Linked DNA regions of Elephas maximus indicus. The protein of the gene in region 1 interacts with the protein of each later gene in a pairwise test. Links are inferred from orthologs where the notes say so. Each region holds a gene or a part of one and is shown on either strand. Other genes may lie near its edges.

Region 1 (7,644 bases):
CTTTTATCTTTATTAAAATTTTGCTTTGGTTACAGGAAAGCCAAAAAAAAAAAATCCGTATAATTTAGAATTCTAATTTCACTATTACAAAAAGTTAAACATCTTCATAAATATAAATTGACCTATATGAATTCCCCTATTTATGAAATATTTGCTCTTACTTTCCAATTTTGTGCAGTGAAATGCTGAAAACAGCCAGGCTAGTGGAGACATGAAATAAGAATCCTAGAAGGAAGACCTACGGGCTTCAAAACTTAATACGGACACCCACCCACTAGAATAGATAAAGGACTGACAATGTTACATGTCAGCTGGGATACAGAGGAACAGAATGGTGGGACTGTACAACCGTACACTTTTCAAAAAGGCAATTTCTTATAAAACTAAACATATGCCTGCCCTGTAGTCCAGCCATTCCACTTCTAAGTATTTAAACCACAAGAAATGGAAGCATATGTCCACAAACAGAAAAAGATTTTACTAACCAGGAACAGCCATGGTAACACTCAGCACGGGATAAATTATGGTAAGATCACACAATAGAAAACTATGTATCACATACAAAGTCATACAATAGGAAAGCAACAAAAAAGAAGGAATTTCTAACACACAAGGATAATCTCAAAAACATCATGCTGCGTGAAAACAACCTTACCCAAAGACTACCTATTACACAATCTCATTTTTATAAAATTCTAGAACAGGCAAAACTAACTTATGGTGAAAAAAACAAAAACAGTGGTAGATGGGAGAGTGACTGAACTAACAGAGAAAGAAGGAACTTTCTGTTCAGTAAGAATGCTCTACATATCTTGATAGGGGTTTGGGTTACACAGGTGTATGCATGTGTCAAAACTCATGGAATGGAACTCTTACATATTTCACTGCATGGAAAATTTACCTGAAAAAATAAAATTAAAAAACGTTGAACTCAAGCTAATGATATTGGCACTGAAGTGCTTTTTAAGGGTAACATGTTCAGATATTTGCAAATTACTTTGAAATCCACCCAAAAAATAAAAAGGACTGATGAATGATTAGAAATGTGATAGAGCTAACACAGTAAAATGCAAATGGTAGGTGACAGACATATGGGTGTTCACTGTATAATTCTTTCAACTCTCCCATATGCTGGAAAACAAAATGTTCAGGAGCACTGGGAGACAAAAAACAAAACAACAATATGGTGATTCAATTGGTGGTGAATATCTCTTGGTTGATGCTACAATCTACTGCTTCGCAAAACACATCTTTTGAAACTAGATAAACCAATACCCGATTCATTTACTGTTTCTGGGGCAATTTACCATGGGTACACTTCAGGAGTTCACTGTTTCCTTTCATAAACTATTCACATTGTTTGAGATTGCTAGGGATGAAGAATTACGGTTCAACAATAAACTAAAACAACTTGTCGAATTTCACCAAGATTCTTATTAATTGCAAAATTTCTCTGCCAGGCTTTAAGCAATTACTGGGTAATACTCCCCATTAACTCCCGTTTTGTTTTCTTTTATTCAACGCAATTGCCAGTACCTGAGTAGGTCGCTATCGTTCCCCTATAACCAAACAAAAACTTACCCCAGATGAGCATCGAAGGGATAAATATACTAACAAGAAAACAGCATGTCATCAAAGAATGAAGAGTCACTCACTTTTCTCCTTGAGCCTAGTACCATAATTTAAGATGTGCCTGCAAGCAATTTCTACGGCATATCTTTGTTTTTCGTTTTTTTAAAAGTAGGCAAGATTTCAGCATTCAAAAAGCAGAACTAAACAAACACGTGCTTCTCACCCCAAAAACCGACCATAACACGGCAGGCAGGCGAAAACAACGAGCAACCCTCTTTTTTTGTTTGTTTTTGTGTTCTTCAAACAAAACCGCGGCCTAGGCTAAAGCGAACCTTCGCACCCGCCCAGCCTCCACCCCGCCCGGAGTCAGGCGGTGGGTCCCTCTCCTTTGTGAGGAGCTGGAGGCGGCTGGGGGCGGGGAGCTGGCGGAGGCGGCAGAGGGTCGGTGGACGCCGGAGGAGGAGGGTGCGGAGGCAAGCGGCGTTGGTGTGTGCCACACACAGGCCGCAGCCCTGCCACAAACCTCTGCGGTGTCCCAAGAAGCAAACCCACGAGCTTGGGTGTGATCGGATTTGGGATGAGGCCCAGGAAAATGGCCGAGGACACTTCCGCGGTCAACCCTCTCCCAAGGCCCTCCAAAACCGTCCCTGGACGCGGGCGGAGGTCCTGCCGCCACCTCCACCCCTGCCCGAGCCCCAGGCGGCCCTCACCTGCTGGACGGAGCTGTTCTCGGGCACAGCGAACTCCTCCTTCTCCTTTGGGGTCTTCACGGTGACTTTCATGATCTTGGGCTCCGCGGAGGCAGCTGCCGCGGGGGCGCCGGCACCGTCGGGCGCGGCGGCGCTGTCCTGGGAGTCTGGAGGGCCGCCGCTTTCACCACTCTCGGCCATGGCGGCGGTGACTCAGGAGAGCAGGGAGGGAGCGGGCAGGGAGGGAGCGGGCGAGCGAACGGGAGCCAGAAAACGCCACAGTCGGCCGGCCCGGGCAGCGGGGAATGCGGGGCACGCCACCTCAGTGGCAACCGGCGTAGGACCGCCCTAGCGGGCGAGAGGCCGCGGAGCTCTGTTTGGGCTCTAGCGCAGGGCCAGGTCGGGCGCTCGGCAGCCGTCGTTTGTTCAGACGCCGCTGGTTAACAGCGACATCCGCAGCAGCCGCCGCTTCGTCCTCGCCGCCCCTCCCCCACGTCCCTCTGCCAGCGCCGCGCGAGGCACGCCGGGTAGCGCGGCTGAAGGCAGCGCCGAGTCATTCCTGGCGGTCGCCTCTTCAAGCTCCAGCGGCTTTCCTTTTCCGCTCGCGTTCTGTTACCCAAAATGTAAACATGTCCAGAGTGGAAGAATAAAATCAAAGACGGACGGGATGGGTCAGTTCATTTTTTTTGTCATTTCCACCAAATAAATAATAATCCCGGTTCTGAGAGGCGTCTTATCGGCGCACAAAGATGATGTCACGGATAGCGAAATTACTAGAAAGGGGGCTCCACCACTGGGCGCTGCGGCCGCGAGTACGCCTGCGCGCTGGCTGTCCAGGTAGTTTGCCCACCCCCTTACCTCACGGGCTGCCCAGGCAGTCTTCACCGCTTCCGGTAATTTTTCGCCTTGGTCTACCTCGCTGGGAAGAGGGTCTCGTGATAAAATACTGGCGAAGTATTTTGTTGTTGCTGATTTGCTTAGTTTTTGCCTACTTGTAAGATTTGAAATGAAGATAACTTAATGAAACAAAGGTCGTCATAAACGAAAGGAAAATGGAATAAACGCCAGTAATCACCCTGCACAATTCGCGGAGTCATTGCACATGGCCAGGGCTTTCTACTCTCGGATGAGCCAGATTTGGTCAGGCGATCGTCAGGCCACCGGTACTGACAGAGTGGCCTGTGCTCCCGCTTTTGACAGAATGACTCATTCAGTTGGTCAATGAGAATTTATTGAGTACTTTCTGGCAAACTTTAATACGCTAATCTTGTGTCCAAAAACTTACATAGTAACTTCAATACGAGGCAGAACATGTGTCAAATAACTAATATAAATTATATCTCACTCTCCTACTGAAAATCCATCGCAAGCTCCCCACTGGCTGCAAAATAAACCCCAATTTCTTAACTAGAAATTAGAGACCTGCAATCCAGTGTCTTTCAAATTTCACTCCCATTGCTCTGTAGATGTACTTCATTCCAGTCAAACTTGTGTATTACCATTTCTGGAAACATTTGCACATTATGCTTCTCTCACCTCTGATCATTACACCCCCACCTTGTCCTCATCTTTTAGAGCTACCTTCTCTCTAAAACTTTTCCTTGAACACCCAAGCCTAGAGGATCATTTCCCTTCTCTGACATTCTATCATAATTATGTACAGTAAAACCTGCAAAAGCTAGAACTCTGTGTGAGGCAGAAACCTGTCAGAGAAGGAAAAATATTTTCCGCTAGCGATAGAAAAGTGGTGACTGCACCCTGTCAAAGGCGGAAAACTTGTGAGACCTAGAAAAACAAGACAGTCCTGAGTTCCCACTGTCATAGGTTTCACTGTATGTATAATTCTCCTGGCAATTCATTACTTGTAACATTGCTTCTATTATCTTCAACTTCCTCCTGCTACCAGTCTAGTTCAGGCCTTCATTACCTCTGGCCTAGGTTGAACAACCTCCTACAGATTCCTCTCCCCCATTTTGAAGTCCCCATCCTCAAGTCTGTTTTCTTCTGATGCCATATGTTATTCTAAAACAAAGCTTTGATGACACTCACCTACTTGAAAATTTTCAAAAGCTCTCACCAAAGTTTAGAATAAAATTAAATCTTCATGGCATGGTGTACAAGGCCCTCTGTGACCAGAGGACCTTGCTCCTTACTCCTCTCTTCAGGCAAACCAGTCAACTAAGCTCTCCAAGCATGTCTTGGGCTTTCCTGGTTCAAAGCCTCAATGCACAAAGGAGAATGAAGAAAACCAAAGACACAAGGGAAATATTAGTCCAAAGGACTAATGGACCACAAGTACCACAGCATTCACCACTCTGAGCCCAGAAGAACTAGATGGTGCCCGGCTACCACCACCAACTGCTCTGACAGGGATCACAATAGAGGGTCCCAGACAGAGCAGGAGAAAAATGCAGAACAAAATTCAAATTCACAAAAGAAAAAAAAAAGACCAGACTTACTGGTCTGACAGAGACTGGAAGAACCCCCGAGTCTATGGTCCCCAGACGCCCTTTTAACTCAGAACTGAAGCTACTCCCAAAGTTCACCCTTCAGCCAAAGATTAGACAGGTCTATAAAACAAACAATTACACATGTGAGGAATGTGCTTCTTAGTTCAATTCTGTACATGAGACCAAGGGGCAACACCTGCACAAACACAATGACAAGAAGGCAGGAAGGGACAGGAATATTGGACAAATGGAAATGGGGGACTGGGGTGTGGAAGGGGAGAGTGTTGACACATCGCGGGGATTGCAACCAGTGTAACAAAACTGTGTGTAAATTGTTGAATAAGATACTAATTTACTCTGTAAAGTTTCACCTAGAGCACAATTAAAAAAAAAAAAAAAAGCCTCAACACACCAATTTCACTGCAGGAAAAAATTATTTTCCCTTCTTTTGTTCCCATTGTTTTACCCCTCCTTCAGTTCTCAACTGAAATATGACCTTCCCTAACAATTTGTCCGTGGTACAGAAATATTCTCTAAACTCTCTATATAGCTTTATGACCTTTTTAATGTCACTTAACACATTATCTCTTGTATTATACTTACTTTTGTGCCTCTTTCTCCTTCATTAGACAAAAAAATCTCATTGCCATCAAGTCGATTCTGACTCACAGTGACCCTATAGGACAAAGTAGAATTGCTCCACAGGGTTTCCAAGCAGCAGCTGGTGGATTTGAACTGCTGACCTTTTGATTAGCACCCAAACACTTAACCACTGTGTCACCAGGGCTTCTTAACTAGACAAGGTCCTTGAAAATTGGAATTCTGTCTTAACCATCATATATACCCCACAGTGCCCAGCATAATTTCTTGGCATGAGAGCATTCCCAGTTGAACTGTATTGTTGAAATCATGTTTTTCATTAAAGAGGCTTAGAACAGTGGATCATATTTTGTATGTCTTGTCTCTCCCAAGGTTTATAGTGTAGCGGTAGATAGATAGATACAGCTGTATATATACACACCTTGGAACTTACTTGCTTTACAGTAGAATTTATAAGGAAACATCCCTATACTATCTGCTTGACGGGGAGGGAAATGGCACAGGGGTGGTGGTCAGAGAAAGTTTTTGAAGGAAATTACTTGAGCCAGGCCTTAAGGAATGCATAAGATGTTGTTAGGTGTGTTGAGAGGGGCAACATCATGAGAAGCACACAGTGATGGGAAATAGAAACTCTCCCAGGGTACTGGTCTCAAAGTGTGATCCACAGTCTAGGAGCAGTGCACAAATATCTCTAGGGCTACTTCAAAATCAAATGTAGAAGGGTAGAACATTCAAAAACTTTCTGGCCAAGTAATTAGAGGACAGGCTGGGGGCGGGGAGAGGATGTTTATTAATTTGTCAACTAAGACTTTACATCTAAAGCCACCACGAGCTTTGAACAGAAGCTGCTAAGTAGGTTCCCACAGTCCTCTGGTGCTGTGCCAGGTACAGCATAATAAACAGAAGCAAAGAGAGGGCCAGCAGCAGTGGAAAGAAAGGGGATGTGGCAAACCTCTCTGTGTGAAGAACACATCTCTGGTTCTCACATTGGTCCAATCTCACTATTTATTTTTTTTACTTCTTATTTTGAAATAAATCTAGACTTACCAGAAGTTGCAAAAATAGCACAAAGTCTGTGTACCCTTCACCCAGCTTCCCCCAATGGTGACATCTTAAATAGCTGTTGCACAATATCAAAACCAGGAAATTTGACATGTTAATAGACTACAGACCTTATTCAGTTTTCACCACATTTTTTAAAATTTTTATTGTGCTTTAAGTGAAAGTTTACAAATCAAGTCAGTCTCTCATACAAAAATATATATACACCTTGCTATATACTCATGGTTGCTCTCCCCCTAATAAAACAGCACACACCTTCGCTCCAGCCTCTATTTCCGTGTCCTTGGTTCTGTTCCCCTCTGCCTTCTCATCTCCCCTCCAGACAGGAGCTGCCCACATAGTCTCATGTGTTTACTTCATCCAAGAAGCTCACTCCTCACCAGTATCATTTTCTATCCTACACTCCAGTACAATTCCTGTATGAGGAGTTGGCTTTGAGAATGGTTCCTGTCTTGGGCTAACAGAAGGTCTGGGGACCATGACCTCTGGGATCCTTCCAGTCTCAGTCAGACCATTAAGTCTGGTCTTTTTATGAGGATTTTGAAGTCTGCATCCCACTGCTCTCCTGCTCCTTCAGGGGTTCTCTGTTGTGTTCCCTGTCACGGCAGTCATCGGTTGTAGCCAGGCATCATCTAGTTCTTCTGGTCTCAGGATGATGTAGTCTCTGGTTTACATGGCCCTTTCTGTCTCTTGGGCTCGTAATTACCTTGTATCCTTGATGTTCTTCATTCTCCTTTGGTCTAGGCAGGTTGAGACCAATTGATGCATCTTAGTTAGCCACTTGCTAGCGTTTAAGACCCCAGATGCCACTCTCCAAAGTGGGATACAGAATGTTTTCTTAATAGATTTTATTATTCCAACTGACCCAGATGTCCCCTGAAACCACGGTCTCCAAACCCCCACCGCTCCTACCCTGGCTTTCGAAGTGTTGGCCTTATTCGGAAGACTTCTTTGCTTTTGGTTTAGTCCAGTTGTGCTGACCTCGCCTGTATTGTGTGTTGTCTTTCCCTTCACCTAAAATAATTCTTGCCTTCTATCTAATTAGTGGGAAGCCCTGGTGGCATAGTGGTTAAGTGCTATGGCTACAAACCAAAGAGTCAGCAGTTTGAATCCAAGGCGCTCCTTGGAAACTCTGTGGGGCAGTTGTACTCTGTCCTATAGGGTCGCTATGAGTCGGAATCGACTCCATGGCACTGGGTTTGGTTTTTTGTTTTTGTTTTTAATCTAATTAGTGAATACCCCTCCCCCTCCCTCCCTCCCCACTCTCATAG
Region 2 (7,574 bases), on another chromosome or scaffold:
CGACCCTATGCACAACAGAACAAAACACTGCCCTGTCCTGCGCTATCCTTACAATCGTTATGCTTGAGCTCATTGTTGCAGCCACTGTGTCAATCCACCTCGTTGAGGGTCTTCCTCTTTTCCACTGACCCTGTACACTCTGCCAAGCATGATGTCCTTCTCCAGAGACTGATCCCTCCTGACAGCACATCCAAAGTATGTAAGACGCAGTCTCACCATCCTTGCCTCTAAGGAGCATTCTGGCCACACTTCTTCCAACACAGATTTGTTCGTTATTTTGGCAGTTCATGGTATATTCAATATTCTTCGCCAACACCAGAATTCAAAGGCGTCAACTCTTCTTCAGTCTTCCTTATTCATTGTCCAGCTTCTGCTGCAAAGGACCTCATCAAAGTGTTGAAGAGCAAAGATGTCACCCTGAAGACTAAGGTGCACCTGACCCAAGCCATGGTATTTTCAATCACATCATATGCATGTGAAAGCTGGACAATGAATAAGTTCAATTAGGACATGTTCATTTTCTCTGTTATGCCAGTGTTCTAGTTCAAATTTCCTTTCTAAATCTTATACAATTGCCTTAATTTATCAAATATCCTTTCTCTGGGGCCAAATCTTTCCAACACAAATCTTATTTATGAAAAGACAACATCATTATCACTTGGCTTTTATGATGAATTCATATACTGATGACTAGGACTTGCTGTGACGCAGTGGTTAAAAACTCGGCTGCTAACCAAAGGTCGGCAGTTCAAATCCACCAGCCACTCATTGGAAATCCTATGGGGCAGTTCTACTCTGTCCTATAGGGTCACTATGAATCTGAATCCACTCAATGGGAATGGGTTTGATTTGGGGGATGGTCAACTTTAGGTATTAAAAAGTTATTAACATTAGCATCTTTGTTTGCAAATCTGCGAAATTCCCTGGCTGTGTAGAGCTATGGCTGCCAACCAAAAGGTCCAACCAAAAGGTTGGCAGTTGGAATCCACCAGTCGCTCCTTGGAAACTCTATGGGGCAGTTCTACTCTGTCCTATAGGGTCGCTATGAATCGGAATCCACTCCGTGGCAAGGGGTTTTATAGGGTTGCTATAAGTCGCAATCTAGTCAATGGCACTGGGTTTGATTTTCCAGTTATACGATTTCCTAATACCATCTTGTGTAACTATTGCAAAAGTCCACAAACAAGTTTCTCAAAGCTAGCAACCAAAAAATTTTAGTAACTCACTTGTGAAATCAGATTATAATCAAGTTGAGCACTTTACTTTTCAAAGACTATCAAAAGATAACAAATGATCGTGGATAGTGTTACGTTGATAATTGCCTCATATCATGGGGAGAGCTCTCAGGTACAAATCCATTCCTGTTTGATATGTTTTCTCTTAATATTTATGTTGCTGTACCAAAATGTAACTTACGTTTTTCCTGAGCTGTTTAAATGTTTTTGAATGAACAAATAAAGAGTAACATTAATTATGTATTTTACTTACACCTACTCTGAACGCAATCCCCAACCACCCCAAAACTCAATAAAATGCTACGTGAAGTGACCACTTAATTATAAAACATCAAAATAAATAACCAAAGAACGACCACAGCAAATCATAAGCAATCACTTGGTTTAAAAAAAAAGAAAGAAAACAAGTTAGAAAAAAAGCCAGTGCAAAACTTCCCTGCAGTTAAGTTTTCTAAGGGCTCCAATGTGACCCTTGTCTCCCATTTTTTAAACTCTCCGACTGGACACAACAAGATCCATTTGCTTGAGTTACTCTTTATGGGAACACTTTTTTCTACAAACGTACCTTCTGCAAAAACTATTTCCGATTTTAACATACAGAGTTACCTTTTTTTTTTTTTTCTGAAGAAGCAACAGTTCTTGCTACTATCATGACTCCAGAACAGTTTTTCGAGGATTTTTTAAAAGAAACTTTGTAAATTACATGAAGCAGGCCGAATCAAGTGACTGGAGAAGTAAGTTTCCCAAGAGCAAAAACTTTCTGAAATTTCGTGTCCCTACACCTCTTCCCCTGTCCTCATCCCCCCAAAAGAAATGTTTTTTCAGCCTTAGCACCGGGCCAGTACTCAAGACAAGAGAACACTTTATTTTAAAAACGCTCAGAAGGAGTGAACCAAGTTGAGTATATTGTGACTGAAGCGAAAGCAAAAGAACTGTGACTCCCGGCCATGAACCCGCATGGCTTAAAGCGCTCAAGTCCCAGGGAGTTAAGACCCGATTTCCGCCGCACGCACAAAGTGGCAATTCAGATTCCCGGAGTTGAGCCAGCAATATTTTGCCCCACTTTAGTTTTTTCTTAGTATTTAAAAACACAATCTCTACAAATCTAAGCGAGCCAGACGATGGCTAAGGGAGACAGAGGGAGGTCGCAGGAGCTTCAGGAACGAGAAAGGAGCCGAGGAGAGCAGGCCACGCGTAGGTCCCCGAACTCGCCAGCATGGACCAGGCCTGGCCGGGAGCCCGGCGAGCGGCTGCAGGAGGGAGGAGGCGGCGGCGCTGGACCCGACTCACCTGCCCATTCACCGAGCCCCGGTCCGACTGCGGTCTCATTACCTAACCCCCAGACCCGAAAGGCCATGAAGAGAAAGTACGAGATGCGCAGGGCCAGGTAGGCCACGGTGCCCGCGCCCACCCAGTAGAAGAAGCCGGCGGCCGGGACAACGCTCTCCATGGCTTTCGACTAGGCCTCACTACCTGCGTGAATGAAAAAAAAGGAATGAATGAATCCAGGCGTGGCGCCGGCGGTGGCGGCGAAGACGACAGTAACAGGCGCTGCTCCTACTGGGCTTTTGCCCCAAGCCCCGCCCACAGCGCCGTATACGTGCCGCCATTGGTGATCCAGCCTTCCTTCTGCGGTAACGTATCAGCCGTTGGCTGACTCCTAAACAGACCAGAGCCCACCCCCTAGAGTTTCCCTGCCCCAACCACGACCCCTCTCCCCGCGCGCACAATGTGCGGTGCTACCGTTCTCCGGCAGCAGATCGCTTGCCTGCCAATCAAGCTTCAGCCCGCCCAACCGCGTCTCTACGTCCCCCAGTATTCGGCCAGTGAGCGGTGCGTCTCACCACCAAATCGCCCAGGTCTTTCATTGGCTGCGGCGATCCTCGCGACTCTAGAAGCCTGCGCTCCGATTGGCCGGTCAGACCCAGCCTGGTTTGAGCCGGGATTGTGAAGGAAAGGAATCGGAGAAGCCACAGAGAATGGGAAGATTGTAGTGAGGAGTAGATGTGGAGCCTTTCGGGCAGGGTTTTATTTTCACCTCCTGATTAAACACTTCTTTGTCAATGCGCTGCTGTTGTTCCCATCAACTTTTCTGGACAGAGGGCTGCAGTCTCCTGTTTCTAAGCCTGCCCCACAGCACGCAATCGTTTCAGTACACTCACTTATTGAGTGCCTTCCAACTGCAAGGCCTCCGTCCAGCGCTGAGCATTAAACAGCACATAATTCCCAACGTTTTCGAGTTTACGTCAAATAATGATGGAGTTGAATAACTATGGAATAAGAATTGCAAGATGAATGAAAATATACTACAGAAAAACAGCTTGCTGAGAAGGGAGTCAAGTCGGTGTTTTAACTGGGCAGGAAAGGACGATAGAGATTTTTATTTTACTTTATTATTATTAACTTGCTTTTTTTATGGGGAGAGGGGAGTGGAGTTTCCGGGACGCTCCACAGTGTGTATGGGAACTACCTAAGAGAAGTTCCAAAGGAGTAAGACCACAAAGCAAAGTTAAGAAATTGTGTAGTGCAATAAAATGGTTCACACTTATTCGCTCATCCTTCTTCAACAGTTTTTATTGTTCCTTTGCTGGCATGGTTTGGAGCTCGCATAAGATATCTAGAGCTTATCCTTAGCCAGTGAGGCCTGCTGACTTAACACTTGAGAGGTTTTTTTAAGGAAGGGATTTAAGGGTAATAAAAGGGCTAACAGTTCAACGAGCTTGAAGCTGAAGTCATAGTTATGTAATATTTAGTGTAACAGACTTATCTCTCAGTGCAGCAGTGCAGAGAGGGCTGAGTGTGGACGTATTTTATTGGCAACCACTGGCCTAGCCCACAAGGGCTAGGGGTGAGAAAGAGACAGAGAAAGGGCTGCCTTGTCAGAAGTAAAGGGAGTTCACTCCTGTTGAGATAGCCCAAGGGGATTACGGATGAGAGCGTGAAGGGGCTGTCTGAAGTGCTGGGAGGTGTGTGTGAACTCTTGAGCCTAAGACTGCTACCCATTATGACCTAGCTTGGATAACTAGGAATGAGCTGACCAGAATTCGACAAAGTGAAGAGATGTTTGACACCATGAGCTGGTGTTTTTACAATCATAATTAACCATGTTAACCATCAACACTCACAAATGAATCATATAATTCTATCAGCATCTTCCCCCACCCTCTCTTTCCCAGATCCATCAGGAAAGGAGGAATCTATTCATTGGGGATCCTCCCTTGTCCCCCTCATATTGAGTGTAAGCACACCCACGAAAGTCAGTAAGCCAGCCACTTCATGCCTTTAAAAAAAAAAAATATAGCCAACTTTTAAATTGCCTGTCCCCATCAAACCAGTACTCTGATGAGACAAACGTGTTCTTTGGTCTTGAAGAATGTTTTCTGTTCCAGCTGGAACTTTCCAACATCTGCATCCATAAGCAAAGGCCAATCCCCAGCAAGCGATCAAATTGCAGGAAGAAAATTCTTCAAGACAAAGGCCCAGTGTCAGTTAATTGGGGAAAAGATAGTCTTTTTAACAAATGGTGCTGGCATAATTGGATATCCATTTGCAAAAAAATGAAACAGGACCCATACCTCACACCAAGCACAAAAACTAACTCCAAGTGGATCAAAGACCTAAACATAAAGACTAAAATGATAAAGATCATGGAAGAAAAAATAGGGACAACCCTAGGAGCCCTAATACAAGGCATAAACAGAATACAAAACATTACCAAAAATGACGAAGAGAAACCAGATAACTGGGAGCTCCTAAAAATCAAACACCTATGCTCATCTAAAGACTTCACCGAAAGAGTAAAAAGACCACCTACAGACTGGGAAAGAATTTTTAGCTATGACATCTCAGACCAGCGCCTGATCTCTAAAATCTACATGATTCTGTCAAAACTCAACCACAAAAAGACAAACAACCCAATCAAGAAGTGGGCAAAGGAAATGAACACACACTTCACTAAAGAAGATATTCAGGCAGCTAACAGACACATGAGAAAATGTTCTCGATCATTAGCCATTAGAGAAATGCAAATTAAAACTACGATGAGATTCCATCTGATTCCAACAAGGCTGTCATTAATCCAAAAAACACAAAATAATAAATGTTGGAGAGGCTGCGGAGAGATTGGAACTCTTATACACTGCTGGTGGGAATGTCAAATGGTACAACCACTTTGGAAATCTATCTGGCGTTTTCTTAAACAGTTAGAAATAGAACTACCATACAACCCAGAAATCCCACACCTCGGAATATACCCTAGAGAAACAAGAGCCTTCACACAAACAGATATATGCACACCCATGTTTATTGCAGCACTGTTTACAATAGCAAAAAGCTGGAAGCAACCAAGGTGTCCATCAACGGATGAATGGTTAAATAAATTGTGGTATATTCACACAATGGAATACTACGCATCGATAGAGAACAGTGATGAATCTGTGAAACATTTCATAACATGGAGGAACCTGGAAGTCATTATGCTGAGCGAAATTAGTCAGAGGCAAAAGGACAAATATTGTATAAGACCACTATTATAAGATCTTGAGAAATAGTATAAACTGAGAAGAACACATACTTTTGTGGTTATGAGGGGGGGAGGAAGGGAGGGAGGAAGAGGATTTTTTACTGATTAATTAGTAGATAAGAACTGCTTTAGGTGAAGGGAAGGACAACACTCAATACATGGAAGGTCAGCCCAATTGGACTGGACCAAAAGCAAAGAAGTTTCAGGGATAAAATGAATGCTTCAAAGGTCAGCGGAGCAAGCACGGGGGTTTGGGAACCATGCTTTAAGGGGACTTCTAAGTCAATTGGCAAAATAATTCTGTTATGAAAACATTCTGCATCCCACTTTGAAATGCGGCGTCTGGGGTCTTAAATGCTAACAAGCGGCCGTCTAAGATGCACCAATTGGTCTCAACCCACCTGGAGCAAAGGAGAATGAAGAACACCAAGGTCACACGACAACTAAGAGCCCAAGAGACAGAAAGGGCCACATGAACCAGAGACCTACATTATCCTGAGACCAGAAGAACTAGTTGGTGCCCGGCCACAATCGATGACTGCCCTGACAGGAAGCACAATAGAGAACCCCAGAGGGAGCAGGAGATCGGTGGGATGCAGACCCCAAATTCTCACAAAAAGACCAGACTTAATGGTCTGACTGTGACTAGAGGAATCCGGGCGGTCATGGTCCCCAAACCTTCTGTTGGCACAGGACAGGAACCATTCCAGAAGACAACTCATTAGAACTGAAAGGGACTGGACAGTGGGTATGAAAGAGATGCTGAAGAAGAGTGAGCTAATTATATCAGGTGGACACTTGAGACTGTGTTGGCATCTCCTGTCTGGAGGGGGGATGGGAGGATAGAGAGAGTTGGAAGCTGGCAAAATTGTCACGAAAGGAGAGACTGGAAGGGCTGACTCATTGGGGGAGAGTAAGTGGGAGTAAGGAGTAAGATGTATATAAACTTATATGTGACAGACTGACTTGATTTGTAAACGTTCACTTGAAGCTCAATAAAAGTTAATAAAAAAAAAGTTAGAAATAGAACTACAATACAACCCAGAAATCCCACACCTCAGAATATACCCTAGAGAAATATGAGCCTTCACTCGAACAAATATACGCACACCCATGTTTATTGCAGCACTGTTTACAATAGCAAAAAGATGGAAGCAACCAAGGTGTCCATCAAAGGATGAATGGTTAAATAAATTGTGGTATATTCACACAATGGAATACTACACATCGATAAAGAACAGTGACGAATCTGTGAAACATTTCATAACATGGAGGAACCTGGAAGGCATTATGCTGAGTGAAATCAGTCAGAGGCAAAAGGACAAATATTGTATAAGACCACTATTAGAAGATCTTGAGAAATAGTATAAACCGAGAAGAACACACACTTTTGTGGTTATGAGGGGGGCAGGGAGGGAGGGTGGGAGAGGGTTATTTACTGATTAGTTAGTAGATAAGAACTACTTTAGGTGAAGGGAAGGACAATACTCAATACAGGGAAGGTCAGCTCAAATGGACTGGACCAAAAGCAAAGAAGTTCCCGGGATAAACTGAACGCTTCGAAGGTCAGCGGAGCAAGGGTGGGGGTTTGGGGACTATGACTTCAGGGGACATCTAAGTCAATTGGCAAAATAAATTCTATTATGAAAACATTCTGCATCCCACTTTGAAGTGTGGAGTCTGGGGTCTTAAATGCTAACAAGCGGCCATCTAAGATGCATCAATTAGTCTCAACCCACCTGGAGCAAAGGAGAATGAAGAACACCAAGGTCACACGACAACTATGAGCCCAAGAGACAGAAAGGGCCACATGAACC
Region 3 (7,190 bases), on another chromosome or scaffold:
TCATGGCACCCCTATGTGTGTCAGAGTAGAACTGTGCTCCACAGGGTTTTCAATGGCTGTGACCTTTCAGAGGCAGGTTGTCAGGAGTTTCTCCCAATGTACCTCTGGGTAGACTTGAACTTCCAATCTTTCAGTTAGCAGCTAAGCATGTTAACCATGTGTACCACCCAGTGATGCCTGGTACATAGTAGATGCTGTTTGTTTGTTCAAGTTCCAAAGTATCAATAGGCAAAAGTGAGCAACTAGCCCTTACTCTCATCCTAATGGCACAAAACGCAGGGCTTGTCCAGCAGAAGACCAGTCATCCCAATGGGGTCAAGCCTTCTGTGCCCTGAGACTACAACCCAGAACATGTAAGATAATACCATCACATGGGGATTTCAGAAGAGTCCAAATCAAGGAAGGCCCTTTAAAAGGCTAAAACGCAAGCTTGTTTCATCCTCTTCTCAACTCTCCCTTCCAGCAAGCAAACTTGAAAAGATGCTTCCAAGTTATTCCCCTCTCTCTTTCCCTACTTCCTATCTAACTTCCCCTGGAATTAAACAGCTTTGCTCACTGAAGCCTGGAGTCAAAGCCCCTGATTCTGACACCTGGTCAGTTTCAAGGCCTGACTCGACTCTGCCCCTATTGGTCATTTAGAGGAAATGCAGCCAAGTACCCCCTTGACAGACACTTCACAGTCTGAAAGGTATCTGCAGTGTAGAGAGGAGCCTGCAAGAAACCCATTTCACATTGTTGCGCTTGGCCATCACAACTGTGTAAAATGGACAAAGCTGCTGTTATCATCTGACAAAGAGAAATCTGCGGTCCAAAGGGGCAAAGTGACTTGCTTAGGGTCCAATGGTTAATAAGCTACAGGAAAGGAAACAGAACTCATTTTCAGATACCCTGGTTCCCTTTCCACTATGGGGCCAAAAAGACGATCCTTATTCCAGGCCACGTGGGTCCTAATACGGTAAGCTTGCAAACGCATTAAGATGTCTTGGAGCGACATTTACCCAACTGATAAATCCTCCCTTGGATTAATGAGCCCCCACTTTTAATTTAGGATTTGCCAAGAGATGACAGCCTTCCCCAAGAGTTAACTTACTTGTCAGGCAGAGAAGCCCAGAAAGGTTGCCAACATCCTGCTGGCTCACAGACACGTCTTGAAATAAAGTTTCAAATGAGTTAGAGTAAACTCAGGAATGAGTTAGAGTAAACTACGTTCATCAACAGAGTAAAACTCAGCTAAACCAGCTGCCCTCCTCCCGTCTGAGGCTGAGTCATGTCATGCTTTATTTGGGTGGTTATCTTCCGCGGCTCGGGCATCAAGAAGATAACCCATCATCCTCTCGGGACCTCCACCGTGGGAATACGAGCAGGTCGCCTCACGAATGATAAGGTCTAGACATTTTCCCAAAAACGTGTTCTCATCAGACGCTGATATTTCAAGTACGTGTAACTGAGCAACGCTCAGTCTTTGCCACACAACTCTGCCCCCTCCCGACCCCTCCGCCCCCAACCCATCCCCTCCCTCAAATCCTAGCGCGAGCCGGCCCGGCCCCACCCCCACATCACACGCCGAGGCACCCGGAGGGAGACTCCCGGCCCGGCCCGAGGCTCTTTCTTATGTAAATGGCCAGGCGGAGGTGAAAGCTCGGGGTTGAGATATCCTTGAGTTAGGTGAGCAGATAGGTCCGGCCCTAGGGTAGGAAAAAGCTCGTTTTCGGAACGACAAAAATCTCAAGGAACACAGGAAAGGGGGTTTGGTCCTCTCCGAGTAACTTTCGGGAGCGAATGAGAAAGGAACATCCAAAGACCGCCCCCCACTTGGAGGCGGGTTCCCGGGACGCGAGGCGGGGCGGTCCTGAGGGAGAAGCGTGGGGGGGCGGGGGATGGACACCCCTAGCCGGGCCTCAGTTCCGGGGAAGAGGCGCGGCGCGGGGAGCCCTTCTACCCCCTTCCCGTCTCGTCCCCGGGCCGCCTTCTCCCCAATCCCACCTCCGCAGGGCCGCGAGGAACAACCGGCAGAGCCGCAGGTCCCCTAAACGCGTTACTTCTGCGCCGGTGGCCCCAGGCAGCCCCCACGCGGCAGCGGCGCCTCCTCCCCCAGCCACGACTCTCCCCACGTGCTCTGGCCGGAACTCGGCTGCAGAAGGGGGGATCATCCCACGTGTGCCCAGCAGTCACTGACTACGTGCTGGGTGACCCGCCCTCCTGAAACAAAAAAAGAGAGAGAGGGAGAGAGGGAAGGAGCGCGCAGGGTGGTAGGAAGAGAGGGAGCCGGGCGGCGCAGCGCGGACGTGGCTTCTCGAGCAGAGGAGTTGTCCGGTCGCCCAGGCTGTTTGTGCGGCCCCGGCCCCGAAGTGAGTAGGGAACGAGTAGCTGCTGGGTCTGGGAGGGGTGTCCAGCTGGCCGGGGCCCCGAGATACGACCGGGGACCCGGCGACTCTGTCCGAGGCGAGCCCGCCGCCCCCGCCCCCGCCCGCGCTCTCTTACTTTCTGCACTTGGTCATGGTTGAGTTCCGTGAAGAAGTAGGCGAGCAGATGCGAGGCGATCATCCTACCGCGGCCTGACGGCACCGAGTTGGGAAACGAGCTGGAGCGAGTGCGGGGGAGGCGGGCAGTGGTGGGACCGCTTTGTACCCGGGCTCGGGCGGCCTGTCTGGGAGGTGGGGGTCTGGGCGGCGCACAAAGAAGGCCAACGGCGATGGCGCTCCGGGTGAGAGCTCTCTTAGGTCTCTGAAGACGGGTTTTTAGTCCCAGCTGCTAGCAGGCAGGCGCCCCAGTATCACTCCAGGCGACGTGTCCGGCTGCCCCACGGTCAAGGAGCCAACCTCAGCCACAGGATCACTAAGAATCACAGCCCAGCTCCGCTAGGACAATCAGCCTGGTGGGGCGCTCGGTCCCACGCGCGATGCTCTCGCCCGCGGATCCTCTCCGCTCCACGGCACAGCGGGGCTCGCGGCGGCACGGTGAGTCTTGCGCTGGAGTTTCGTGCAACAATGTGGCTTATTGAGGGGCCGCCCGCTCGCGGGCCGCCCGGTCAGTGACGCGCGCACGCCCATTGGCTAAGCGGGGAGGGTGTGTGCGCCCGCGGGCCACCCGCCGGCACGGCGCAGCCAGTCAGCGCGCACGACCCGCGGGCGCGGCCGCCCAGACACCCGAGCCGGCCGGCTGGAGGGGCGGAGCCCGGCGGCCGGGATGGGACGTGTGGTCCGTGGCAAGAGGCTGGAGCGGAAAGGCGCGTGAGCTGCCGCTGCTTCGGGCTCCGCCAGGGATAGGGGACATGTGAGCGCGGACCCCGGGTGTGGGACGACTGGAAAGACGGGTCACTGGACCAGCACACGCCCTGTGTGGGGGGAGAGATGCAGTCTGGCATCCTGGGGCCATGGAATCGACTGTCCAGTTGGTCTGAAGCATCCTAGTTCTCACCTATTGTGGCTCCGTGAGTCCGCGGCTGCGCCAAGGCAAAGTGAGCCGCCCTATTTGCTTCTTTTTCTTTGCCAGGCATTACAAAAAACTGCTCTTCTAACCTTCACAGCCCAAATCTTACGATATAACATTAATGTCTTAGAATATTAATATCATATTAACCCCGTTTTCCAGATGAGGAAAGAGGCATAGAGCCGTTGAGAGACTTGACCAAGGTCACTCAGATGGTGGGGAAAAGGACTCACGCCCCTCTGATTGTGAGCCCCAGTAGAACTAGCCCATAGGGTTCCCAAGGACCGGCTGGTGGATTCAAACTGCCGACCTTTGGATTAGCAGCCTGAGCTCTTAACCACTTCACCACCAGGGCACCTCCCTCTAAATTCCCCCCCCCCCCCCCGCCCAATTAACCTATCCTGCCTTTCTAAGCACCGGGAAGAGAGAAGAAACTGGGTGACCAAGTGTGTAACTCTGAGTGATCCTGGACATGTGTGGGTTGGGGCAAGGTGTATGGATTGGAGAGGAGAGCCCCAGCCACAGCCAGTGCCTGGCATCAGACTCCAAGTTTATATACCGGGTGGAAGCTAGCAAAAATGAAGTATTGACTTCAGCAGGCGTGGGACTGTTCCCTCAGAGAGAAGGGCAAGCCTGGGGCTGGAGAGGCTGCAGTGAAGGGAAGATGAGGGTCTTCTGTTTTCTACTGAGGAGTTCCTCTTTATCTCATAAACAATGGGTACTGTATGCAACGTATATGGATTTTATTATTATTACACAAGTAATGGATGGTCCTTGTTGGAAAATAAGAATATAGAGATAAACAATAAAACATGAAAACATCCACGATCCAGCCTCTCAGCAAAATTTCTTGAAAACTATGCACCGTTGCCAACTAAACATCCTCACCCCTCTTTCCATGTACTCTAATCAGGCTTGGGCCCCAAACTGCTTTCGTCCCATAATGGCCTACATGTTGCTAAAGCCTATGTTCTCTTCTCCACTTTTGTCTTACTCCACCTCTCAGGGGTGTTGGGCACAGTTGACCATCTCCTCCATCTAAACACACCTGCCTCAGTTGGAGTCCAGGAAGCTCCACTCTCCTGGCTTCCCAGTAACCTCTCTCCCCAAGCTCCTCAGCCCCTGTTTTCTCCACTGGTAAGTACTGGAGTATCCCACACCTATCCTCCACCCTTTTTGATCTAGTTATGATCTCTCCTTAGGTGATCCTCCCAGCCCCATGACTGTTAGGTCATCTACAAGCTGGTGACTCACAAAGGTAAAATCTACAGCGAAAACCTCTCCTGGAACTCCACATATAAATCACTAGCTGCCATTTGTCATCTCCACTCAAGTGACTAGCATCTCACACTTAACATGTCTAAAACTGAGCTCAACTTTTCTTCCCAAAACTACTCCCAGTTCTCAGCAAATGGCATCACTATAAACCCTAATTCATTCTTAATCCCTCCCTGCCCCTCACCCACACATTCAGCCAATCTGCCATCAAGCAGTCAACTCTATGCGTAGAGTACCCATTGCCATCAAGTCGATTCCAACTCATAGCGACCCTATAGGACAGAGTAGAACTGCCCCATAGGGTTACCAAGGAGCAGCTGGTGAATTCAAACTGCCTACCTTTTAGTTAGCAGCCAAAGGCTTAACCACTGTGCCACCAGGGCCCCACACCCATAGAGCAGACCCTGTATAGGACCACTTTTCCCCATGTTTAAGTACACCACCTCAGCCAAGCCACCAACTCAGCCAGAGCCACTGTCACATTGTCCTACCTGGCCTCCCTGCTTCCACTCTTGCCCACCTCCACCCTCGCCCCTGTCATCTCTTCTTCACTCAGAAGCCAAAGTGACCTTTTCAAAAATAGAAATCGAACATGTCTCTCCCTGGCTCAAATCCACCCAGTGGCTTTCAATTGTAACATAAAATTCAGTCTTCTGACAATGACTGCTAAGGCTTTTCACCATATGGCCTCTGCCTCCCTCTCCACCCCATTCCATACTTTCCCCAAGACACTACTCGCGCTCACACTGACGCATTTTCCTCAAATATGCCAAACTCTTTCTCACCCAAGGGCCTTTGCTCTTCCTGGTTCTTCGGTCTGGAATATGTTTTTCCAGATCTGTGTGTCGCTGACTCTTTCTCCTCACTGAGATTCAGCTCAGATGTCACCTCCTCGAAGGGCCTTCCCTGACCAGTTTATCTCAGATAGCTCCCCAAGTCACTATCCTGTGACCCTGATTGATTTCCTTCGTAGCCCTTATCACTATCTGATACTGTTTATGATCTGGCAACTTGTATGTGTCCTTTATCTGCTCACTGGACTCCGAGCTACAAGAGCGGAGTTGGTATTTGTGTTGTTTCTCAGCATCCACTGTGCCTAGAATGGTGCCTGTCACATGGGAGGTACTCAGTAAATATTGCATAAATTAAGAAATATTAGAGATAGCCATTGTTCGTATTTTATATAATTGTGTATCTGTGTGGAGAAAGTTTATAGTTTTATGTATTTTATATATGTTTTATATATATTTATTTTATATATATTATTCTTCAGATATTTTCCCACCTCTCCCTCTACCTAGTTCACACACCCAATATCTCTCACCTGATGATAGCAGCCTCATAATTTGGTCTTCCCTCTTTAGATATAGATACATAGTAGATACATAGAGTTAGATATCCAGCAGAGGTTCTTAAACAGAGAAATGATGTGATCAGATCTGGGTTTTTTAGGGCAATTTCTAACCTCCATGTGGGTGAAGGAGGGGCAGGAGGGTCAGAGACCAGAGGCCGAAAGAAGTAGGGACGGTAGGATAAGACCAGAGCCTGAAACAGGTGAGAACGGGGCAGGGAGTAGGGGCACGGGTTTAAAGATGTTGTGAAGTCTGAGGTAGAATTGATGGCTTTAGCTAGTGGTAGGGGATGAAGAGGAAGATGCTTTCTGTCTACAGATATTTGGAAACCCACTAGGCAGTGCTACAGAACTCCACTGGGCCCAGGTAGAAGGGACCAGAGTCTGTGGGGTGGTGTCAGCTGTGAGCCCTTCTCCACACATGAATTTTAGTGCCTTCTTCTCCCCTCAAAGTCTACCCTTAAATTCCAGGTGCTGTAAGTGCCTCTTTCTCTTATTCTGCTCACAATAATCCCAGGAGGTGCCTGGAATTGCTATAAGCCCCAGTTAAGACATGATAAACCAAGGGTAGTTTACGCACGTAAGGCTGAGGCGAGTATCTTCAACTTTTCTGGCTCCAAACTCCATGCGGCGGAGTTGATTAATCATGAGTCTCAGACCTCTCTCTCTCTCTCTCTCTCTTTGTCTCTCTCACACACACACAAACATTGAAGAGGGATGAGACATACATGTGGTTTACACTCCCCAGCCCCAAGGGAGGAATCAACCAGCGAATATTTATTAAACACTTTACAATGCTCAGGGAACTCTGCTCAGTGCTATGAGAAATACAGAAGAAACATAAGATGTGGCCCTTGCCCGTGGAGAATTAACTGACTAGTCAGAGATATAAAACTAATACATAAAACAAGTATTAAACCCACTGCCATCAAGCTGATTCCAGTGCATAAACCCCATTGCCATCAAGTCGATTCCGACTCATAGTGACCCTATAGGACAGAGTAGAACTGCTGCGTAGAGTTTCCAAGGAGTGCCTGGTGGATTTGAACTACCAACCTTCTGGTTAACGGCCATAGCGCTTCACCAATATGCCACTGGGGTTTCTAAGGTATAATGACCCTGTAAGACAGAG
Region 4 (6,945 bases), on another chromosome or scaffold:
TTTAAGCTCTTGATATAAAATGGCTGCTGTATAATTCCAAGAGTCATTTTACATAGGTATATAATGAGTCATAGTTACTTCTTCAATGAAACAAAAATGTTTAGCTGAAGAGATTTAAAAAGGGATAAAAAGGATTGCCAGATAACCTCCCTAAGGCTCATTTCAGAATTTCCTAATATTTTGTAAGTTACTATTTTACTTAACATGTCTATTTTACCTTCTAATATTTGCCTTGAAGAAAACACGTAAAAACTGAATGCATTAAATTACAATTTAAACCCATAATATGATACAAAGTTTAAAAAGATAGATAGAAATGAGGTTTGATTTTTTTAATGACATGTGGAATGTCCTAAGAAAACAGGATACAGAGCTTACACGGGAAATTTTTATACAAGAAAACTAGAAGACAATAGAATTTTTAAAATATTTTTATTAGTATACATCTATTTGATAGCTTCAAATTTAGAACACTTAGGATTAGCATGACCAAGGAGACCTACTATTGGATAAGGATCTGAAATGGATAACTGTAACAGGTTCGTATCAACCTCCGCATGCGATTTCTGTATCTTGTACAGTGAAAAACTGATTTACACAGCACTATCGAATTACAGTATTTTTCTAATACTCCATGTTGCAGTCTCAGAATACTTTTCAGTTAAACTGATTCAGATGAGAAACAGGAAAATTTGTATTTTGAAGTTGAATAAATATCTAGCAAATTCCTTTCTTTCCATTAAATCAGGAACGATTTACAGTAAACAAAAACTATCCACGGTATCAGTTAACACTAACGGTTTTCACACTTTTACTGAGCATGTTCCTATGAACCAGGCCCTGCACTAAACTTCTGAACATGCAATTTCTCATGTAATTACCTCAATGGCAAGTGTCACAGGTTCACTTGTTTTTCACAACTGACGATGGTGGCACGATGACAGCTTACACTGAGCTCATGTGTCCAAGCCTTTACATGGCATCTCAGCCAGCAGGACGCTATGGTACTGTTGCAGCTCCCGGTGTTCGCTTGCACGATTTTACGAATATTACACAAAGAAGTAGGCCTGACTTCCCCCCCAAGAAACAGAACATGGCTAAGTCTTACTAATCTGAGACACACCTGTACGACACAGACAACGGAACAGCTGTGATCTAGGTCTGCCCTAAAGCCCCTCCGCTTCCCGAGGCTCAGAAGTGCCCTTCCAGGCCTAACTGCAGGAGGGCGGCCTCGGCCTCCTCCTCCTCCTCCTTGGCCTCCTCCTCGCGGATCTGCACCAGCAACTGGAAGAGGTTCGGAGCCGGCCCCTCCGCAGCCCCGGTCAGCCACAGCTGCCTCCGGATGGCCCCGCTGTGGTTGGCCCCCGCAATGACCTGCTCCAGGCGGGCCTGGTTCACGTTATCTTTATCTATGGCCCCCTTCTCCACCACCTTCTGCAGCAGAGGCTCCAGACGGATGACATAAGCAGATAACTTTTCTCCCGGGTTCTGGTAAGTGTTCAGAAACCTGACCTGGGCATCCCGGGAGCTCTCGACGCTCCCAAACACCTGCTCCAGCGCCTTCAGACACTCGGCGGAGGTTATCGCAGGGTTGTTGGTCTTGAGGATGCGAATGACATCGGCGGCGGGGCCTCTGAGGCTCTCCACCAACCGCCGCCTCTTTTCTAGATCGGACACCTGCCACTCCTCCATGACCTCATTAGTGTGCTCCAGCCAGTGATCAAAGGCCTCCTCCCCAGGGCCCGGGATGTCCCTCCCCGAGAACAGCGTCAGCTTCTTGTACCATATGGACTCGACAAGAGGCTGGATAACATTATCCAAAATATAGTTAAGCATCTCTGCCGGCATTTCTGGGCCTGGAGCAGGAGCGGGGTTCTGAAACCCAAGGACTCGGGCGACATCTTGCACTGTCCACCCCTCTCTTGCCAGGAAGAGGTGCAACCTTTCTAAAAATTCAGCATCGGATGTCGGGGGCTTAAAGACCACTTTCCAGACCCCTCCCTTGCCCGGCATCTCCCTGGGTATGTTGGCGTAATCGACAGCGCCAGTGAGCTCTAACAAGGCTGCTTTCGCATTCTCTTCCCTCCAGAACATTCTCCCAAGCACTCGATAGGGCACCTGGGGCATCGCAGCCCGGAGGGTATCTTCGATTTCAGCCTCGTCACAGTTCACTGGGATCCCCCAGACCAGCAGGGCTCTCTGGGAGTTCACATCCATCCCCCTGCACCAGTCTTCCAACAGGGTCATCGCCATCTTCCCACCTATCAAATGGGGCCGGCTCCACAAGTACCGGTTCGATGGTGGCTCACTCTGCAATAGGGCTACGAATGATACCAGAGCCTCCCCCCCCCAAAAGCCCGAGGGAGGCAAGCTTCACGCAGTCACAATTAAGAAACGACACCAGAGTCCTGCTTTCGCCCTTCCTCCCTGCCCCCCAAAGTACTCCCCCTAAGTCGGTCTGCGCGTCCTTGGAGCGAGGCCTCGGGATGCTCAGTCACGCGGCCGCCGCCATCTTGCGTCTCCGGTCGGGGTCCGCGGCCGAGGTCCGTCGCCTACAGACAGGGGGCGAGTCGCAGCACAGACGAGGAGCCGCCGGGCGGGAGACGATGCCGGGGTGCAGTCTTGGGGCGCGGTCGCCTCGGTCCGCACCCGGGAGCTAGCTGCTGCTCCGGGAGTCGACTGGGCGTCCGCGGTCGGAGCGCGGCCTTCAGACCGGGGAGGAGCGGCTGTTTGGCAGACGAGGACTCTGACGCCCCCGGAGGAAGAGGCTGTCCCAAAGTTGTGGAGGCGGCAGCGGCCGATCAGCCCGCGAGGTCAGCCCGCGAGCGGCTACTTCGCGGGCCCGACGACCCCCTCTCGGCGGCAAGGACAACCGAGGGCCGAGGATCGAGGCCCGAAGGCGGAGGCTATACGGACAGGGCAAGCTGGAGAGGAAGAGCGGCCGGAGGGCAGCGCGCGTGCTGTAGCTGTCTCTGGCGGAGCGCAGCAGCCGGCGCGTCCTCCCCGCCGCGAGCCGAGCGTTACTGCCGCAGAGGGCGGGGCCAAGCCTGACAGGCGGCTTCCAGCCCGCCCCGCCCCGCCCCTGCCCTCCGTAGCCATGGCAACGGTGTCCCAGGCGACGCGAAATTCGCGCGCTTTGGCGGCGGGCGGCGTTGAGCAGTTGCCATGGGGCCGGCGAGGGGCTCCTGGCACTGATCTCTCGGATGGTGTATTTCTTTTTTCATATATATATTTTTTTATAATGAAAGAATACTGCTAAAAGAATCTAATTCTGGAGTGGATCTAAGATACTGGTGGAAATGCATCCGTCGTGGCCGACTTGTCTACTCAGGTAGCTCATTCCACCGGTCTATGCTGCGTAGAGAACGCTCACCTCAGCACCCGGCCTCGCTGAGCCACCTGAGCACACTCTCTCTGCACCTCCGTGGTTCAGCCCATTGAAATTGTAATGTGGGAAGTGTGCCATTTATGGTTTTTGAGACGTTGAGTTTAGACTTTGTCCTGTCTAAAATATCGTAAAAGACATTATTTCTACTCAGTCATCTTTGTAGGAAGGCAAACACTAGTATGATATTTCCCCTCTCCTGGCTCCTGGACAATGGGCTGATAAAAATTGAATCCTTACGGTTCAAAAATGTCCAGTGTAATCCCTTGTAAACAAAACAAGGCCTACTGACGTCAATCCCAGATGGTGAAAATCCCCCCAAAAGAACACAACATTCAACTCTGAATTTTTAAAACCTTATTTAATAAAAGGTTTAAAGATACAGAGGGAACATTCAAAAGTAAATAAGTTACATAGGTACATTACAATCACATCAGCAAGATTTTCTTTAGTGTATTAATTTTTTTATAAAAAGCACACAAAAAATAAAATCTTCAGTCTCGTCTATCACAACTGTACAGCAAAAGAGGTAATATTTCTATATATATGTACACTATTTTAATATGTAACAGTCTTTTTAAAAAAGGGTGCCACAGGCAGCAAACACACAAAAGGCAGTGTCTGATCATTTCTCTCAAAATAAAAGGAATATACTTATTTATATGCTATTAAAATATTTGTACAATAATTACAGACTGTCAAGGCTGTTCCTGTGCTCTGTCCCCTCCAACAAGGCCTTCAACTTTAGAGACAAATGAGGAAAAGGTGAAACAGCTGCAAATTGTTAGAGGCAAATATTAACACAGAAAAATGTGGGGAGGACATAGAATTGTTTTATAAAAATATGTATTACTTCCTGTAAACCTAAGGAGTTAGGTTTGCCAGTCTGGTAATAAATACCGACCCAGAAAAGTAAGTCCCAGTGAAAATATATTTAAACAGCTGAGGCTTAAGGATGTGTTGTATTCCTCCTTCATCTTAACATCTGGCACATGAGAAGAAAGAGTTTAGGTCACTGAGGCAGTTAAATATAGACGATCCCTTTAGACATAAGCAGCGCACAACCTCTGTGCCAGGGGAGGCCCTCACTTAGCACAGCAGGAGGTGGGGCAGCAGAAGGGGCAGGTATGTACCTTAGCTGTGAGGGAGGCTGCTGAAGGCATGGAGAACGGTGCGGACAGCACTGTCTCCCTGGGTGGGTAAGAGACCTCAGAAATGGTCTGGAACACAGGCACTAGGTCAGTTTCACGCCCTTAGCTGACTGCAGATGGACCCTGGGAAATGGATGTGATGAGACAGTGTGAGAAGGAGGACATAAAGCTGGAGGTGTTTGTCATTTAACTTCCTAAAGCAAAGAGCTCTGAATAAAAGAAGAAAAAGAGGAACCTAATGCATTCACAGGGAGAAAGCACCATTAAGGATATACTTATGCCAGCTTCTATGGCTGCACCTACCTTATTGGCAGGTCACTCCACAATTGCATCTGCCCTCTGAACAGTTTAATTTTTCACATTGCATTCTAGATATAAATCCATCCTGGAGCATGAACCCTCCTAAAATGCGGTGTCTGGTGGGGTAGGCTGCTGGAGGATTAATACAGACAGGTACCATCTTAATTTTTCCCACCTACATTCACCTGGTCTGGTCTCCATAAGCTTAGGAGAAAAGAATCACTTTCTTATTAAAAAAGATTTCCAAATACTAGAAGCCACCACTGAACAGAAGGGTCTCACGTGCCTGAAGGAGGTTTCTGTTACCACATGTCCATAAAGGGGCCTGAAACAAAATACAGTTTAAGTAGAAAAAACCTTGGGAAACATAAGGAGCACTTTGGGGCGAAGCTTTGAAGGCACTCATATTACACAAATGATTTAAAAGAGAGCCTAAATTTGCTACTCTCCTGCTTCTAGATGGTATACCAGATCTTTGCAATCTCCGGACACTGAGTTTGTAGAAGTCCATGGAGAAAACAAGTAGGAAGTTGGAAATCAGGGTAGTTGTCCAGGAGTCTGGGGGGAGAATAATTTTGTTACTCCTATAGTTGGGGTCCTGCGGAACAACATTAATGCATAAATGAATACTGAAAACTACCTGATAGTGCATAGTTTAAAAACAAAACTCCCTCCCCACTCCTAGTTACCAACATGACGGCTTGAAGCTCTCCTGGGAGGACCAGCAGAAAGAATACTTTTCGGCTCCTTCCTAACACGTTGATTTGTTAGAACTTCTTTTTCACAACTAAAGTTGAGTAACAAGATCAAAAAAATAACTCATCCCTCCTATGGGGCTGGCAAGGGAAGGGGCCTCCAGGGCCTTTCAGCCCTCTCACTTCAGTGACTCCTTGCCAAATTCAGCTTCTTACAGCAGAATCCAGACCTGATAAACTCAACCAGAATTCTGGCCACCTGCCAATCTCCTCAGGCAACTTCAAAGTACAGCCAGGGAAGAGGTAGCAGAGGAAAACTGCCTTTGATCTCCCCTGCTCCTGCTAGTCTCTCCTGCTTGGGTGACACCCTCCACTCTACCCTGTCTCAGTCCTGCTATCATTCCTATTGGCAAGAGCTTTCAGAGCAAAGAGGTGGGGGACCTTAGGGCCTTAGCGAGCGGGGTGCCAAGAAGGTGCCTTGTTTTGGGATAAATGCACTTGGGCCTCTGGAAAGCAGGAGGCCCCTGGTCCCTGAGAGGATGTTAAAAATTAAATATTAAGAATAAATAAATAGCTCCCAAATCACACGAGTCAAGGAATGAAGGCTCCTTTCCAATCTAGTTTGGAGACCTCCCCCTCCCAGGGAAGGATGCAGAAATCTCCAGCGTGCAGGGCTGGGGGCTGGGCTGTGGGTACCAGCACTGGAGGTGGGGGCAGGCAGCTGCTGACAGAGGCAGGCGAGGCGCTGTGCCCACCCAGGTGGAGCAGGCTGGGCTGCTGGGGATCCTCCCTCCTGGCCTCTCCAGAACTGCCTCTAAGCTAAGCCCCCTAAGCAGCTTCCAGAGCCCAAGGTATTTGGCAAAGAGGTGCAAAGCAGGAAGAGCCAGGCTTATCAGAAGCTCCCTCAGACCTAAGGCTGCACACAGCCCTGCAGCTTCCAGCCTCTGCAGTTCCCCTCCCTCCAGAAGGCTGAGAGCTCAGACAGCACTCGGGCCCCTCCCCCCAGCAGGGCTGCTAGCAAGCAGCAAAGGGATAAGTACCTGTCCTCGATCTCTCTCCCATGAGGCATCCTGGTGGCCTCCCTGCAAGGAGGAGGTGGCCTCTCTGAGGACAGGGTCCCTGGAGCAGCTAAGACCTGGATGTTGCTGTGCAGGGGGCAGTCACAGGTGCCAGGCCGAGCCCTCTCTCAGAGACCCTTTTTCCAGGGTTTGGGGCAAGGCCTGGCAGCTTTTGAGGTCCACTGGGGAGGGGAAGTAATGGCTGGATGGGGTGAGCTTGTGCTTGGCTCCCCATGGCCACTTCCTAGAGACCAAGTGGGGGACAAGGAGGCAAAGAGGAAGGAAAGAGGCAGCAGAGGTCAGAGTGTGAGAGGCAGCGGTGGCAGCAGCTAGAGCCCCTTCCAAGGGGCATCCTG

What was found.
Region 2: the proteins of UBQLN1 (region 1) and HSD17B12 interact in binary tests that used the Homo sapiens proteins (3 or more experiments, as listed by UniProt). The link is inferred for Elephas maximus indicus from reciprocal best matches to the Homo sapiens genes UBQLN1 and HSD17B12.
Region 3: the proteins of UBQLN1 (region 1) and HK2 interact in binary tests that used the Homo sapiens proteins (3 or more experiments, as listed by UniProt). The two-hybrid records come from large-scale screens. The link is inferred for Elephas maximus indicus from reciprocal best matches to the Homo sapiens genes UBQLN1 and HK2.
Region 4: the proteins of UBQLN1 (region 1) and PNMA1 interact in binary tests that used the Homo sapiens proteins (3 or more experiments, as listed by UniProt). The two-hybrid records come from large-scale screens. The link is inferred for Elephas maximus indicus from reciprocal best matches to the Homo sapiens genes UBQLN1 and PNMA1.

What each region holds. Positions count from the first base shown.
Region 1 is NC_064827.1:100,996,360-101,004,003, forward strand, and holds the start of UBQLN1 (ubiquilin-1), read right to left. Parts: upstream 3,002-7,644; 5' UTR 2,463-3,001; coding exon 2,283-2,462; intron 1-2,282. UniProt on the Homo sapiens protein: Plays an important role in the regulation of different protein degradation mechanisms and pathways including ubiquitin-proteasome system (UPS), autophagy and endoplasmic reticulum-associated protein degradation (ERAD) pathway.
Region 2 is NC_064825.1:99,001,890-99,009,463, reverse strand, and holds the start of HSD17B12 (very-long-chain 3-oxoacyl-CoA reductase), read right to left. Parts: upstream 3,020-7,574; 5' UTR 2,964-3,019; intron 2,861-2,963; exon of another isoform or gene 2,709-2,860; 5' UTR 2,686-2,708; coding exon 2,526-2,685; intron 1-2,525. UniProt on the Homo sapiens protein: Catalyzes the second of the four reactions of the long-chain fatty acids elongation cycle. This endoplasmic reticulum-bound enzymatic process, allows the addition of two carbons to the chain of long- and very long-chain fatty acids/VLCFAs per cycle.
Region 3 is NC_064835.1:61,008,840-61,016,029, forward strand, and holds the start of HK2 (hexokinase-2), read right to left. Parts: upstream 3,020-7,190; 5' UTR 2,545-3,019; coding exon 2,482-2,544; intron 1-2,481. UniProt on the Homo sapiens protein: Catalyzes the phosphorylation of hexose, such as D-glucose and D-fructose, to hexose 6-phosphate (D-glucose 6-phosphate and D-fructose 6-phosphate, respectively).
Region 4 is NC_064828.1:86,445,068-86,452,012, forward strand, and holds PNMA1 (paraneoplastic antigen Ma1), read right to left. Parts: upstream 3,016-6,945; 5' UTR 2,254-3,015; coding exon 1,192-2,253; 3' UTR 442-1,191; downstream 1-441.